Arabidopsis thaliana: one gene and its partner. The protein of the gene in region 1 purifies or fractionates together with the protein of each later gene. This does not show direct contact. Each region holds a gene or a part of one and is shown on either strand. Other genes may lie near its edges. The genes, in order: SGT1A and CR88.

Region 1 (5,399 bases):
GAAATTGTTCTTCTATATGTTTGCTGATCAAATTGTTAAAATAATGGTGAGACTGAGACTCATGGTTTAAATACTAGCAAAAATGGTAAATTTAAAATCCCCCTTAGCCACGGACCTTGAGCAAAGAGTCTAGTGTATGTGTCTATATATGGTTCACCTTTTGGATAAGAAATCAATTTCAAGCTCATCTTTCTACATAGAGAGAAACTTGGATCTTGTACTTTTTAAGATGGAAACATCCATAAAAAGGTAAAGATAAAGCTGATATGGCAAAACGCCAACAAAATCCTACAAGTAAATAAATCTTGGGCCAACTTTAATGTTCCTAAAAGAAATGAACTTAGCTACAAAGTTACTAGTCACGTCTCTGCTGCCAAAATTCTTGACACATTCTTTACACTTCTTCGAACAAAGAGAATGGTTTGATCCACAAAGGATGCAATGCGCACCGCTTCCACAACATTTGATCTGTGGCATAAATCAATCTTGCACCATAAGGGCTTGAAACTTTCAGCTTTTGCCACTAACACTCTAACGCAAACTTGTGTTAGACTGCAACCAAATGAAATATTTGAGAAGCACCAGATCCATTAACAGCAACTATGAGCCCATTACAATGATTTGCCTCCATCAGTGTCTTGGATCGCTAACACTATCCAATAACCAGCCTAGCTGGTACTTAGACAGAATTTTTTTTTCTTCTGGATCTGTGAAAATAAATGTAACATGAGCCATTGACTAAGATCTAGCTCTAATTAACTCAGTCAAAACGACGATCAAAAGATTGAACTATTGGAAATGGAAGGGGCCGCGCGAACGCAGGCCCCCAAGGCAACAAATAATGACGCAGGATCTCCCACTTGGGGTGACCTTTGGCTTAGCGCACCTCAAGTGCAGGAAGCCACCAGCCTAGGCCACGGATCTTCATGATCACCCGTAAACCCCGTCCAGGTAAGTAATTTGCAATCCTCGACCATCTTCTTTATTTATACTATGCTACACACGAGTGCCCATCCTCAAACTTCCGATGAGGGAGCATCAACATTATCTCGTATCTACTATAGGCAGGCTTTCGTTGTTTGATTAGCCCAAGTTTTATTTCTTGATAGGCCGCAATGTCTATATTCCGGTCCAAATCAAACCCAACAGATTTTTTTTTTGTCGGCTATTTGTCACAGATTTCTTTTTATATACGAGGAACAAGGTTAATTATATTGAACTAAACATTAAAAAAAAAAAAGAATTTTACAGATGCAGGTTGATATTTAACGTTATTGTGGGTCAACTCAACTCATAAGCAAAGTTGATATGATACTATTTAAATTGACTTCACCACATCCACTTGACACTAATAAATTGACTTCTCCATCCCTATCCACACATATTTGAATCTTCCAATAAGGTTCCACGAAACTGCTAGGAAAACAATATTTTCTAAGGCAATAGTCCCACTTTGGTTAATCATAAAATTGTCAAATCCACTATGTAATTTGTGATCCATAATAAATTAAACCAGTTATTCATCATCTAAGTCAGACACTATTTTAACTCTAGAAAACTTGACAAAGTACATGAAATGTTTTTGAAGTGAAGTAACAAAATTCCAACATGTACAAAATATATATTTTTTTTTTTAAACGAAAATATATACACTAGAGACCTCACCTATTTTTCTTAATAATATCAAATCTCACATATTTGATGTACACACAAAATTAAATTTATAGAAAATGAAATATATTATTTTAGAAAAATAAGGAGAAACTTTGTGGAAAAAATAGAAAAATATTTAAATTATTGTTTTTATAAATTTTATTTTGGGTTCGAACTCTTCAACTCCCTGAACACAAGTCGCATAAAACGAAGGAACAATCTAGAAGAAGAACGATAACATCCAATCTCTCTTTATATTCCTTCCTTCCATTGTGGCAATAAGTAACAAACCTTGCCCTCTACTTCATTCCCTCCTTGTTTTGATTTCATCGTCTTTGTTAGCTCTCCTCTGTTTTTTTTTCTTAGTCAATCGATGGCGAAGGAGCTTGCTGATAAGGCTAAAGAGGCTTTCGTAGACGATGACTTCGATGTTGCTGTTGACTTGTACTCCAAAGCCATTGACTTGGATCCTAATTGCGCTGAGTTCTTCGCTGATCGTGCTCAGGCCTATATCAAACTCGAAAGCTTCACTGGTAGCTTCTTTGTTCTGTTATCTTCGTCTTTTACTGTCGTGGACGCCTTCTGGGGTTCTGGGTTTTTGTATGTTTTCGGTTTCTTACTTCATCATAGCTGAAAGTTGTTGACTTTGCTGGATTATGTGTATTTAGGGTTTCGTTTTGTGTCCTGTCGCTTGATAGTGTCACAATTCTTTTCGAAAGTTTAAAGCTTTCGTATCAATTTGATACTAATGTGTCTCTCTTTTGCTGTTTGTGGAGGAACAATGTATCGGAATTGCTTTCATGAGAAACGAAATTTAGTTATTTGTTATCAGTAGCGAGTGCCCTTTACAAGTTATGCATTCAAACATTGGTTTAAGTTGGTTTTAGCTGTGCTAGTCTTTTGATTCTTTGATTGTGAATATGGAGAATTTTGTTTACAGATAGTGTTAAGTATTAACGGAGTATTGAAAGTTTCAATTTTTGCTTGAGTGATTAGTCTTTAGTTCAACTATTTCTTGCTTTAAGAAAGTATTCTCTGCATTTTTAGCGTAGTATCATAGAACTTTACTAGTTGGATAAGATTTTGGTCTCATTTGATTCTCAATGAGCAGAGGCCGTGGCAGATGCGAACAAAGCAATTGAGTTGGATCCTTCATTGACCAAAGCTTACCTAAGAAAAGGGTAACGTTTTGCTATTTCCTCCTATGTAACATTTTTAAGTCGTATATAAGTTGTAGTGAGAGTTTAATTTTCTCTGATTCCTTAGTCCTTAGATTGTTTTACTACCAGTTTATATGGTCTGCAAATGTGGTATATATCTGTCAAGCTATTACTTCCATTGTTCATGGTTTGGTTTTTGTATTTGTAGAACTGCCTGTATGAAGCTTGAAGAGTATCGGACTGCTAAAACAGCTCTTGAAAAGGGTGCCTCTATCACGCCGAGTGAATCCAAATTTAAGAAGTTGATAGATGAATGCAATTTTCTAATCACAGGTATGTTTTTTGTGTTTTTTTCTTGTTTTCTGGTTGATTATGTTTACATGCCTAGAGTGATTGTATTGTTTGCCATGGTGCAAAATATTTTGTTATGTAATTCACCTAAGGTTTTGATCTATGGAACTTGTAAATATCCTTTTTCCAGAAGAAGAGAAAGATTTGGTTCAACCGGTGCCTTCGACTTTGCCTTCAAGTGTGACAGCACCACCAGTATCTGAACTTGATGTCACCCCTACAGCCAAGTACAGGTAGTTTTATTGTAGAAAACAATACCAAAGTTTTTAAGAATCATTAAATATCTGATATTCTTGAGTGTTAACAGGCACGAGTACTACCAAAAGCCAGAGGAAGTTGTGGTAACTGTTTTTGCAAAAGGAATACCCAAGCAGAATGTTAACATCGACTTTGGTGAACAAATTGTGAGTATAAGGCTCTTAAGAACCCAACTCAATGGCACTTCTGTGTGCTTGTGTGTTAATGGTATTGTTTTGTGTTTTGAAGCTGAGTGTTGTGATTGAGGTTCCTGGAGAGGATGCGTATTATCTCCAACCGAGATTGTTTGGAAAGGTAATTTATCTGTTGAATGAATTAATGTTGGTTTTTCTTTCAACACTCTGAGCTGAACATGTTACATGACTTTGTTTTACGGTGTATATTCAGATAATACCAGATAAGTGCAAATATGAAGTATTGTCGACCAAAATTGAGATCTGTCTTGCAAAAGCCGATATAATCACATGGGCCTCCCTCGAACACGGCAAAGGGCCAGCGGTTTTGCCAAAGCCTAATGTCTCATCAGGTTTTCTACCTTTTCCTTCTTCAGTGTCATCTGATGAGCTTAAACAACAGTCTCTTGTAATGTAAATCTTATGTTGTATGTATGATGATGCAGAGGTTTCACAGAGGCCAGCTTATCCATCTTCTAAGAAAGTTAAGGACTGGGACAAGCTGGAAGCTGAAGTGAAGAAGCAGGTCCGTCTCTTACCATGTACTTAAAACCTCGACCAAACGGTTTTGTTTTTTCTCTTCTTTTGTTTGATTGTGGTTGACTTGCAGGAAAAAGATGAGAAGCTGGAAGGAGACGCAGCTTTGAACAAATTCTTCCGGGAGATATACCAGAATGCGGATGAGGATATGAGGCGAGCGATGAGCAAATCATTTGTGAGTATCTCTTTTCATGGAGTACTGTAAAAGTTTTGTCCTTTTGATCGACTCATTTATGGTTTTCGGGTTTTGAACAATGAGCAGGTGGAATCGAATGGGACAGTGCTGTCAACAAACTGGCAAGAGGTTGGGACTAAGACAATCGAGAGTACTCCTCCGGATGGCATGGAGCTCAAGAAATGGGAGATCTGATCTGATATGATATGATGATCCTTTCCTTTTTATGCAGTTGTGAATTTTGCCTAAATGTAGACAAATCTTGAAACCTGGTCCCTTTCTTCCTGTAATGAGGATCCTAAGGTTTTTGCTTTTTTGTTAAATATGGCTTTCTACCTCTGCTATGTTGTGACTTGTGAGTTATATTGTCTTTAGGTCTCAACTTTTTTGTTTTTGTTTTTATTTGAGTATTCATAATTTCATCATGATCACTATTCTTTAGTTTTTGTTAAAACTTACTTAATTAGTCTACAAAACCAAATATATCCCAAGTATGGAGTTAAAAGTCAAAGAATTGAGTTAACCTCTCGATCGAGTTGTAAATTGTCACTTTAGAGTCGTCTCGATCGAGTTGTAAATTGTCACTTTAGAGTCGTTTTAAACTTAAGTATGGAGAAAGTGATTTTTTATTAAAGAGTTATACAATATTTGTAATTATGAAAGGAACTACGTTACCGACTTGGTGTTGTCCAATGGTATATTTTCTAGGTAGAGATGTTGGATTCGACATCTTTAGAGATATGTTTTCTTTAAAAGAAATGAATTTAACTTGTTGTAGATCCTGCTTCTCGAACATATAGAGCCTTCGAACTTAAACTTCCATATATTCCAAAGAAATAAAAAACCCACGTTATTTGTGTAAAATTTTTACATCTCACAACCTTTATTTTCCGATAAAATTGTGATTTTTTAATATATATTGACATGGAATATTCTTTTGATTATGCAGGTGATCAGAGCATCGAGTCAATAATCCTTAATGTTCAATAATCCAATCAGCCGCACGTAATAGGAGAAGAAATCTATTTGTTTTTAAGGCCGCCTATGATCTATATATATGAACTACCCACACCTGTTTTAACTAACAAA
Region 2 (7,006 bases), on another chromosome or scaffold:
AACATTATAATTCAAACACTTCCAAAACTTTTTTTACCTTGTTCTGATATTGATGCAGCGTATCTTGAAGACAAATGCTCCTCCGGTATTCATCACGTCCGAGGAGATTGTTTATTGCTTTACTTTTGGGTTTAGTTTCATATGGACTTAATTAATGTATATTTGGGCTTTGAATATTTGATATTAGTTTGCTTATTCTTTAGGCTAGGGTTTCCATTCTTTTTCTCTTATTTTAAGAGATGTAATTCATTATTGTAATTAGTTTTTGATTATTGAATAAACGAGTTTTAAGAGAGCTTGTCTAAAGCCTAGAGAGGAGGACTCTCAACCCTAAAAGCTTGTGTTCAAGCCCTGCAAGGAGGATTTGCAAAACCTCATCGATATCGTTATCGATCTCGACCTTATCTCTATTGCTTCTTCATCAAGTTTCGGCGTTCTAAACAAAATCCGTTCGTTAATCCGAGTTCTCATAGAGATTTTGTGTTTTCGTCCGTTATTTAGCTTCCGCTCTCCATCAGATATTACTTTTGTTCAGTAGACCATTCATAAATACCTGCCTTGGATCCAAAAATAGGACAAATAAACATCATTTGCATCATTTTATTATTCTTAAAAGAAATTGCAAATTTTTGACCAAATTGCAAATATTTTGTTTTTAGGTTATACCCAATACCCACATACTGTATTATAGTCGTAATAAAAAAAGGAAAAGTTGCAAAATAAGTAGAGGACAGTGAGAAGTTGGTAACTATATATGTTTTGGTTAATTTAGTTATGGGTATGGAGTCTATAACGTATGGTTTCGATATTTCCAATAATTAGCAATCGTGTATCTTCGTTAGCATCAACATTGTTGTATTTTATTTAGTGCACACCTTCTCATAATTTCTAAATCAATAAAATTTTAATATCATTTTATCTTGGTATATGTCACTATGTATGTGGTTATTTTTATGCTTCCATGTTTTTATTTTTTTTGCCATGGAACCATTAGCTTAGGTTGAAAATCATCGATTGTAAACCTATCATGTTTTCATTTTTATGAAATATTAGGTGATCATCCGCGCTACACCACGGTTTTTTCGGATGTTTTTGTATTGTTTAATTTAAATATAATTTTTATTTATCTTATCATTTACTCATGCAATAAGCAATTACATTTAGTATTAAAATATTTTTTTCTAACCACATTCTCAACAATGCATCATACACATAATTTCTAAACAATGTTTATCTTAAACCAATTTAACAGAGGGTAGTGTTGGATTCTATAAACCTAAGAATTTAATGATGGAGCTCCTTACATATTCTTCACCCTCAGTTATTTATTATATAAATATCAATTTAAGAGAATATAAACATCAATTTAAGAGAATATAAACATCAATTTAAGAGAATAACTTAGTTAAATTATTAAGTAATATACTCATACTTTGAGTTTGGATTACCATAAAAATCTTCGAGTATGAGAAAACTATTAAAATGATTTTATTAAAAAATCATGTGATATTAAAATAAATTTAGTAAAAGTACAATTAAATATGTATAATAAAATAATATGTAAAATTAAATATAAATATATCATTAAACTATAGATTTGAAATTGAAGAGATTACATTAATTATTTAATAAACACATGTCAAATGCTAAAGTGATGATGTGTCTATCATATGAAGAGAGTTGGCCAACTTTCATATATATAATTTACGAAAAAAAAAAAAAAAAACAAATATTCAAGATCTCTTTCTTGATATGGGCCAATTTGATACGAAACATTTTCCAGCCATAACCTTTCGTTTTACTTTATACGGGCTATAGGCCCATTATGGGTTAACGTGTAGGCCCAATAAGGTGTTTTTTCAATTTGGTTTGCATTTGGTGTGTGTGTGTGTGTCAGCTACAATTTCTCAAGGAGAGGCGCGTGTAAATCAAACGGATAATCCTACGGTTTTGATGAAATGGCTTCTCGTAGACCTCACAATCTCTAAACATCTCTTCTCTTTATACGCTCTTCTTCTAGAAACCTCTCTTACCTCACTCTCCTTAAACCTTTAATAGGGTTTTTAGGTTACTCTTTGTTCAACTACTACAAACTCTTTTCTCTTTAGAGATTGAGAGATTGTAAAAAAATCTCAAATCTTTTCCTTCACAACTTTCAAATCTAATGGCTCCTGCTTTGAGTAGAAGTCTCTACACATCTCCTTTGACTTCAGTTCCAATCACTCCTGTCTCTTCTCGTCTCTCTCATCTGAGAAGCTCGTTTCTCCCACACGGCGGCGCTTTAAGAACCGGCGTTTCGTGTAGCTGGAATCTCGAAAAGAGATGTAACCGATTCGCCGTGAAGTGTGACGCCGCCGTGGCGGAGAAAGAGACCACTGAAGAAGGGTCAGGTGAGAAGTTTGAGTACCAAGCTGAGGTGGGTTCTCTTTCATATCTCCTAAAGTTTCAATCTTGTTTTCTGGGTATCTCTCAACTTGATGGGGATATAAAGTTTTAAGATTTGATTGTTGAAATCTTATCACAGGTTAGTAGATTGTTGGATTTGATTGTTCATAGCTTATACAGTCACAAGGAGGTGTTTCTCAGGGAGCTTGTAAGGTGAGTCAATTTTGATGGATTGTTTTGGAAATGATTTGTGTGTTTCTGTCAAAATCTGATTTTGAATGTGTCTGTGTATGTTCAGTAATGCAAGTGATGCTTTGGATAAGCTGAGGTTCTTGAGTGTAACAGAGCCTTCTTTGCTTGGAGATGGTGGAGATCTTGAGATTAGGATTAAGCCTGATCCTGATAACGGCACCATCACCATAACGTATGAGAGACTTCTCATTTTTTGTTTTACTTAAGTATTGAAAATTGAATAGAACAGGTTTACTTAGAGAGGTTTGATGCGTATATGCAGTGATACTGGTATTGGAATGACAAAGGAAGAACTTATTGATTGCCTTGGAACTATTGCTCAAAGTGGTACTTCGAAATTCTTGAAGGCTCTAAAGGTTTTTTTTCCATCTCTTTGAAAACCTGTTGCTAGCAAATCTTTGATGTCATGTTTTCGGACTCATTGTTTTATTGCTCTCTTTATTCAGGAAAACAAGGACCTTGGTGCTGACAACGGTTTGATCGGACAGTTTGGTGTTGGGTTTTACTCTGCTTTCTTAGTTGCTGAGAAGGTGAAGACTTTCAACTTTTGTTTTTTAGTGTCTTCTGGTTAATGTATTTCTTACGAGGAATGGACGTACAATTGTCTTTGCTTTCAGGTTGTTGTGTCCACCAAAAGCCCCAAATCTGACAAGCAATATGTTTGGGAATCGGTTGCCGATAGTAGCTCGTATCTGATCAGAGAAGAAACAGACCCTGATAACATTCTACGTCGTGGAACACAAATCACCTTGTATCTGAGGGTACTTTTCTTTATTCATTCATCCTTTCATTTGATGCGTCAGATCTCTTATAGTTTGTTTGACTGCTTATTCCTGGCTGCAGGAGGATGATAAATACGAATTTGCGGAGTCTACAAGGATCAAGAACCTCGTGAAGAATTACTCTCAGTTCGTTGGGTTTCCTATCTATACATGGCAGGAGAAATCAAGGACTATAGAGGTGAGGATGAAAGTTTTGTTTTTGTAATCATATTAGTGTATTCACATTGCTAATATGGTTTAAAATTTGTAACTTGTGGTAGGTCGAAGAGGACGAACCAGTTAAGGAAGGAGAAGAGGTAAAAAAATTATGTTGTTTTAATTGTGTGTATCAACTATCAAACAGTCACAACCAAAAGACTGTTCTAGAATTTTGTTTACTGAGTTGATTTTGTTACTTGTTTGTTTCCAGGGTGAGCCAAAGAAAAAGAAGACCACTAAAACTGAGAAGTATTGGGATTGGGAACTAGCCAACGAGACCAAACCGCTATGGGTAAGCCTTGGAGCTTTAGCCTGCGTTTTGTACTTTTCTTTCAACATGTTTACTGATTATTTTGTGTCTTTGAATAGATGCGCAATTCGAAGGAAGTGGAAAAAGGAGAGTACAATGAGTTCTACAAAAAGGCTTTCAATGAGTTCTTGGATCCACTTGCTCACACACACTTCACAACTGAGGTCTTTATACTTATACACTATACACTATATTTATGTCAATTTATGAATTCTTCAATTGGTGCTTACTAGTCTCTGTATTGTCTTGATTATTAAAGGGTGAGGTTGAGTTCAGGAGCATTTTGTACATCCCTGGGATGGGTCCTCTTAACAATGAAGATGTTACAAACCCGAAAACAAAGAACATTCGTCTCTACGTGAAGCGTGTGTTTATCTCTGACGATTTTGATGGAGAGCTTGTGAGTCTTTTATGGGTTCTTTCTTATGTAGAAATCTCTTTAGATTTGTGGTTCAATTTTTATCTGACTATGTTACCTAATCTGTTTGCAGTTCCCGAGATATCTGAGCTTTGTGAAGGGAGTTGTGGACTCTGATGATCTTCCTCTTAATGTTTCTCGTGAAATTCTCCAAGAAAGCAGAATTGTGAGTGGTGCAACTGTTAGTGATACAAATGTTTATCATATATGAATATCACAAATTGTAACTGTACTATCTTTCGTGATAATGTTCAGGTAAGAATCATGAGAAAGAGGCTCATTAGAAAAACCTTTGACATGATACAAGAAATCTCTGAGAGTGAAAACAAAGAGGTAGGTATCTCATTATCCTAATTTTGTTTTGAGCTCATTTGAAAGCCAGGGATATTCATGTTGTACAAACAATTCTAGGATTACAAGAAATTCTGGGAGAACTTTGGTAGATTCCTTAAATTGGGTTGTATTGAAGACACCGGTAACCACAAGCGTATCACACCGCTACTTAGATTCTTCAGTTCCAAGAATGAAGAGGAATTGACAAGCTTGGATGATTATATCGAGAACATGGGAGAGAACCAAAAGGCGATCTACTACCTCGCAACTGATAGTCTTAAAAGTGCCAAGTCTGCCCCTTTCTTGGAGAAACTAATCCAAAAAGATATCGAGGTATATGCTTCAAGACTTGTTTTTCAACTTCGAGTTTCTGTTTAGATTTGACTTTCTCACCACTTGCTTTTGTTAATTATAGGTTCTATATTTGGTTGAACCAATCGATGAAGTTGCTATTCAGAATTTGCAAACCTACAAAGAAAAGAAATTCGTTGATATCAGTAAAGAAGATTTGGAACTCGGTAAGTATGGTTTAGCACTGCTGACTGCCCGCACATTTCTCTCAACCATTTGTTTGTAACAAAACGTGTCCATTCTCGCAGGAGATGAAGATGAAGTAAAGGACAGGGAAGCGAAACAAGAGTTTAACCTTCTCTGTGACTGGATAAAACAGCAGCTCGGTGACAAAGTTGCAAAAGTCCAAGTCTCAAACCGTTTGAGCTCTTCTCCTTGTGTGCTTGTCTCTGGCAAATTCGGGTGGTCAGCTAATATGGAAAGGTTAGTACTTCAGCAAAAGCTTTATAACCTGAAATCCACATACCATAAAACTTATGTGCTTGTTCATTGACTTATGTGCTTATTCATTGTGAAAGGCTAATGAAGGCACAGGCTCTTGGAGACACTTCAAGCCTGGAGTTCATGAGAGGTAGGAGAATACTAGAGATCAATCCAGATCATCCCATCATCAAAGACTTGAACGTAAGTGTGTGGTATAATATTCTCTCAGAAATCTCTTGTCTCGAAAAAGCCTTATTAATTTTTGTATTCTTTTGGTACAGGCTGCTTGTAAGAATGCACCAGAGAGCACTGAAGCAACAAGAGTGGTCGATCTCTTGTATGACACTGCTATAATATCAAGTGGATTCACTGTAAGAAATCTGAAACCTTTCTTGTTTCCCAGTAAAAGTCTTGGACCATTTTACTCACTTATATGTGTTTGTTGTACAGCCTGATAGCCCGGCCGAGCTCGGGAACAAGATATATGAGATGATGGCAATGGCGGTTGGAGGAAGATGGGGCAGAGTTGAAGAAGAAGAAGAAAGCTCGACTGTGAATGAAGGAGATGACAAAAGCGGAGAAACAGAGGTAGTTGAACCATCTGAAGTGAGGGCAGAGAGTGATCCTTGGCAAGATTGATCCTTTTTTACCTTCTTTTGTTTGCAGTGATTTTTTTTTGACAGAACGCTTTATCTTTCCATTAGCAGTATCATGGGCCTAATGAAAGCCCATAATTAAATCACGCGTGAACGAGATTTATCCAATACAGTATTTGTAGTTTTTTTTTGATAATTAAAATAATTTTAGAGAATTTACACAAAAAAAGCTTTTAACAAAAATATTTACGAATATTTGAAAAATATTTGCATTTGAGTTGTATTAAATATTCTGAATTTACATCCTCTTATTATTAAAAAGAAAATACAAATTGAAAAATAGTCTAATCTGCCATCAATTTTCAATTTTGGATTTTGTACATTATTAATCAAAATCGTCTATGGTAATTTGGTCATCACTCTATATTCCTTAAATACACTATATTTCAAATTTAAATAATATTTCTTAAACACACTATATTCAATACTTATCACCTATTTATTGTTTTTTCAAAGATTTAAAAAAACTAAATATAAAAAATCAATCTAAAATAAACCAAAAATATAGTTATTAATTTTACATATTTTTTATTAAAAATATTATGTTGGCAAACAATATTAAGAGCTCGCGAATTAATTAGTGGAGCGGATTAGAATTTACAATAATTCATAATTATGCATATGGAATAAATTATATTTAAAAATCAATATTCGATATATCAAAATATGGTACAATCACACATTTTCCGGATATTATTTAAACTAATAATCTTAACGGTCCATTAAAACTTTCCAAATCAAAATGATTTCCAAATCAATCATTTGATGGAAAATTTCTTGGTCAAAATTTAAATCAAATACCGACCTGCAATAATGGGTTAGAATTTGTATTTATTTGATAGAGAATGAGTAAAATGGAATTGTTAATGACCTTGGACATATCTAAATTTATAATTAC

What was found.
Region 2: the proteins of SGT1A (region 1) and CR88 purify together in Arabidopsis thaliana (affinity purification with western blotting, with the first as the bait; one study listed by BioGRID). This does not show direct contact.

The regions. Positions count from the first base shown.
Region 1 is NC_003075.7:12,297,989-12,303,387, forward strand, and holds SGT1A (phosphatase-like protein), read left to right. Parts: upstream 1-1,889; 5' UTR 1,890-2,026; coding exon 2,027-2,186; intron 2,187-2,761; coding exon 2,762-2,834; intron 2,835-3,021; coding exon 3,022-3,146; intron 3,147-3,294; coding exon 3,295-3,397; intron 3,398-3,471; coding exon 3,472-3,568; intron 3,569-3,650; coding exon 3,651-3,716; intron 3,717-3,809; coding exon 3,810-3,948; intron 3,949-4,041; coding exon 4,042-4,121; intron 4,122-4,205; coding exon 4,206-4,310; intron 4,311-4,397; coding exon 4,398-4,505; 3' UTR 4,506-4,731; downstream 4,732-5,399. UniProt on the Arabidopsis thaliana protein: Functions in R gene-mediated resistance, but participates in a lower extent than SGT1B to RPP5-mediated resistance. Not required for RPM1, RPS2, RPS4 and RPS5-mediated resistance.
Region 2 is NC_003071.7:1,279,819-1,286,824, forward strand, and holds CR88 (Chaperone protein htpG family protein), read left to right. Parts: upstream 1-1,935; 5' UTR 1,936-2,164; coding exon 2,165-2,416; intron 2,417-2,524; coding exon 2,525-2,598; intron 2,599-2,683; coding exon 2,684-2,809; intron 2,810-2,899; coding exon 2,900-2,993; intron 2,994-3,083; coding exon 3,084-3,167; intron 3,168-3,254; coding exon 3,255-3,398; intron 3,399-3,480; coding exon 3,481-3,597; intron 3,598-3,679; coding exon 3,680-3,715; intron 3,716-3,828; coding exon 3,829-3,909; intron 3,910-3,986; coding exon 3,987-4,091; intron 4,092-4,186; coding exon 4,187-4,327; intron 4,328-4,418; coding exon 4,419-4,511; intron 4,512-4,600; coding exon 4,601-4,678; intron 4,679-4,756; coding exon 4,757-5,011; intron 5,012-5,093; coding exon 5,094-5,196; intron 5,197-5,277; coding exon 5,278-5,452; intron 5,453-5,547; coding exon 5,548-5,653; intron 5,654-5,733; coding exon 5,734-5,823; intron 5,824-5,902; coding exon 5,903-6,091; 3' UTR 6,092-6,326; and 1 more. UniProt on the Arabidopsis thaliana protein: Molecular chaperone required for chloroplast biogenesis. Essential for chloroplast biogenesis and maintenance, and thus for embryogenesis. May be involved in the disassembly of VIPP1 for thylakoid membrane formation and/or maintenance.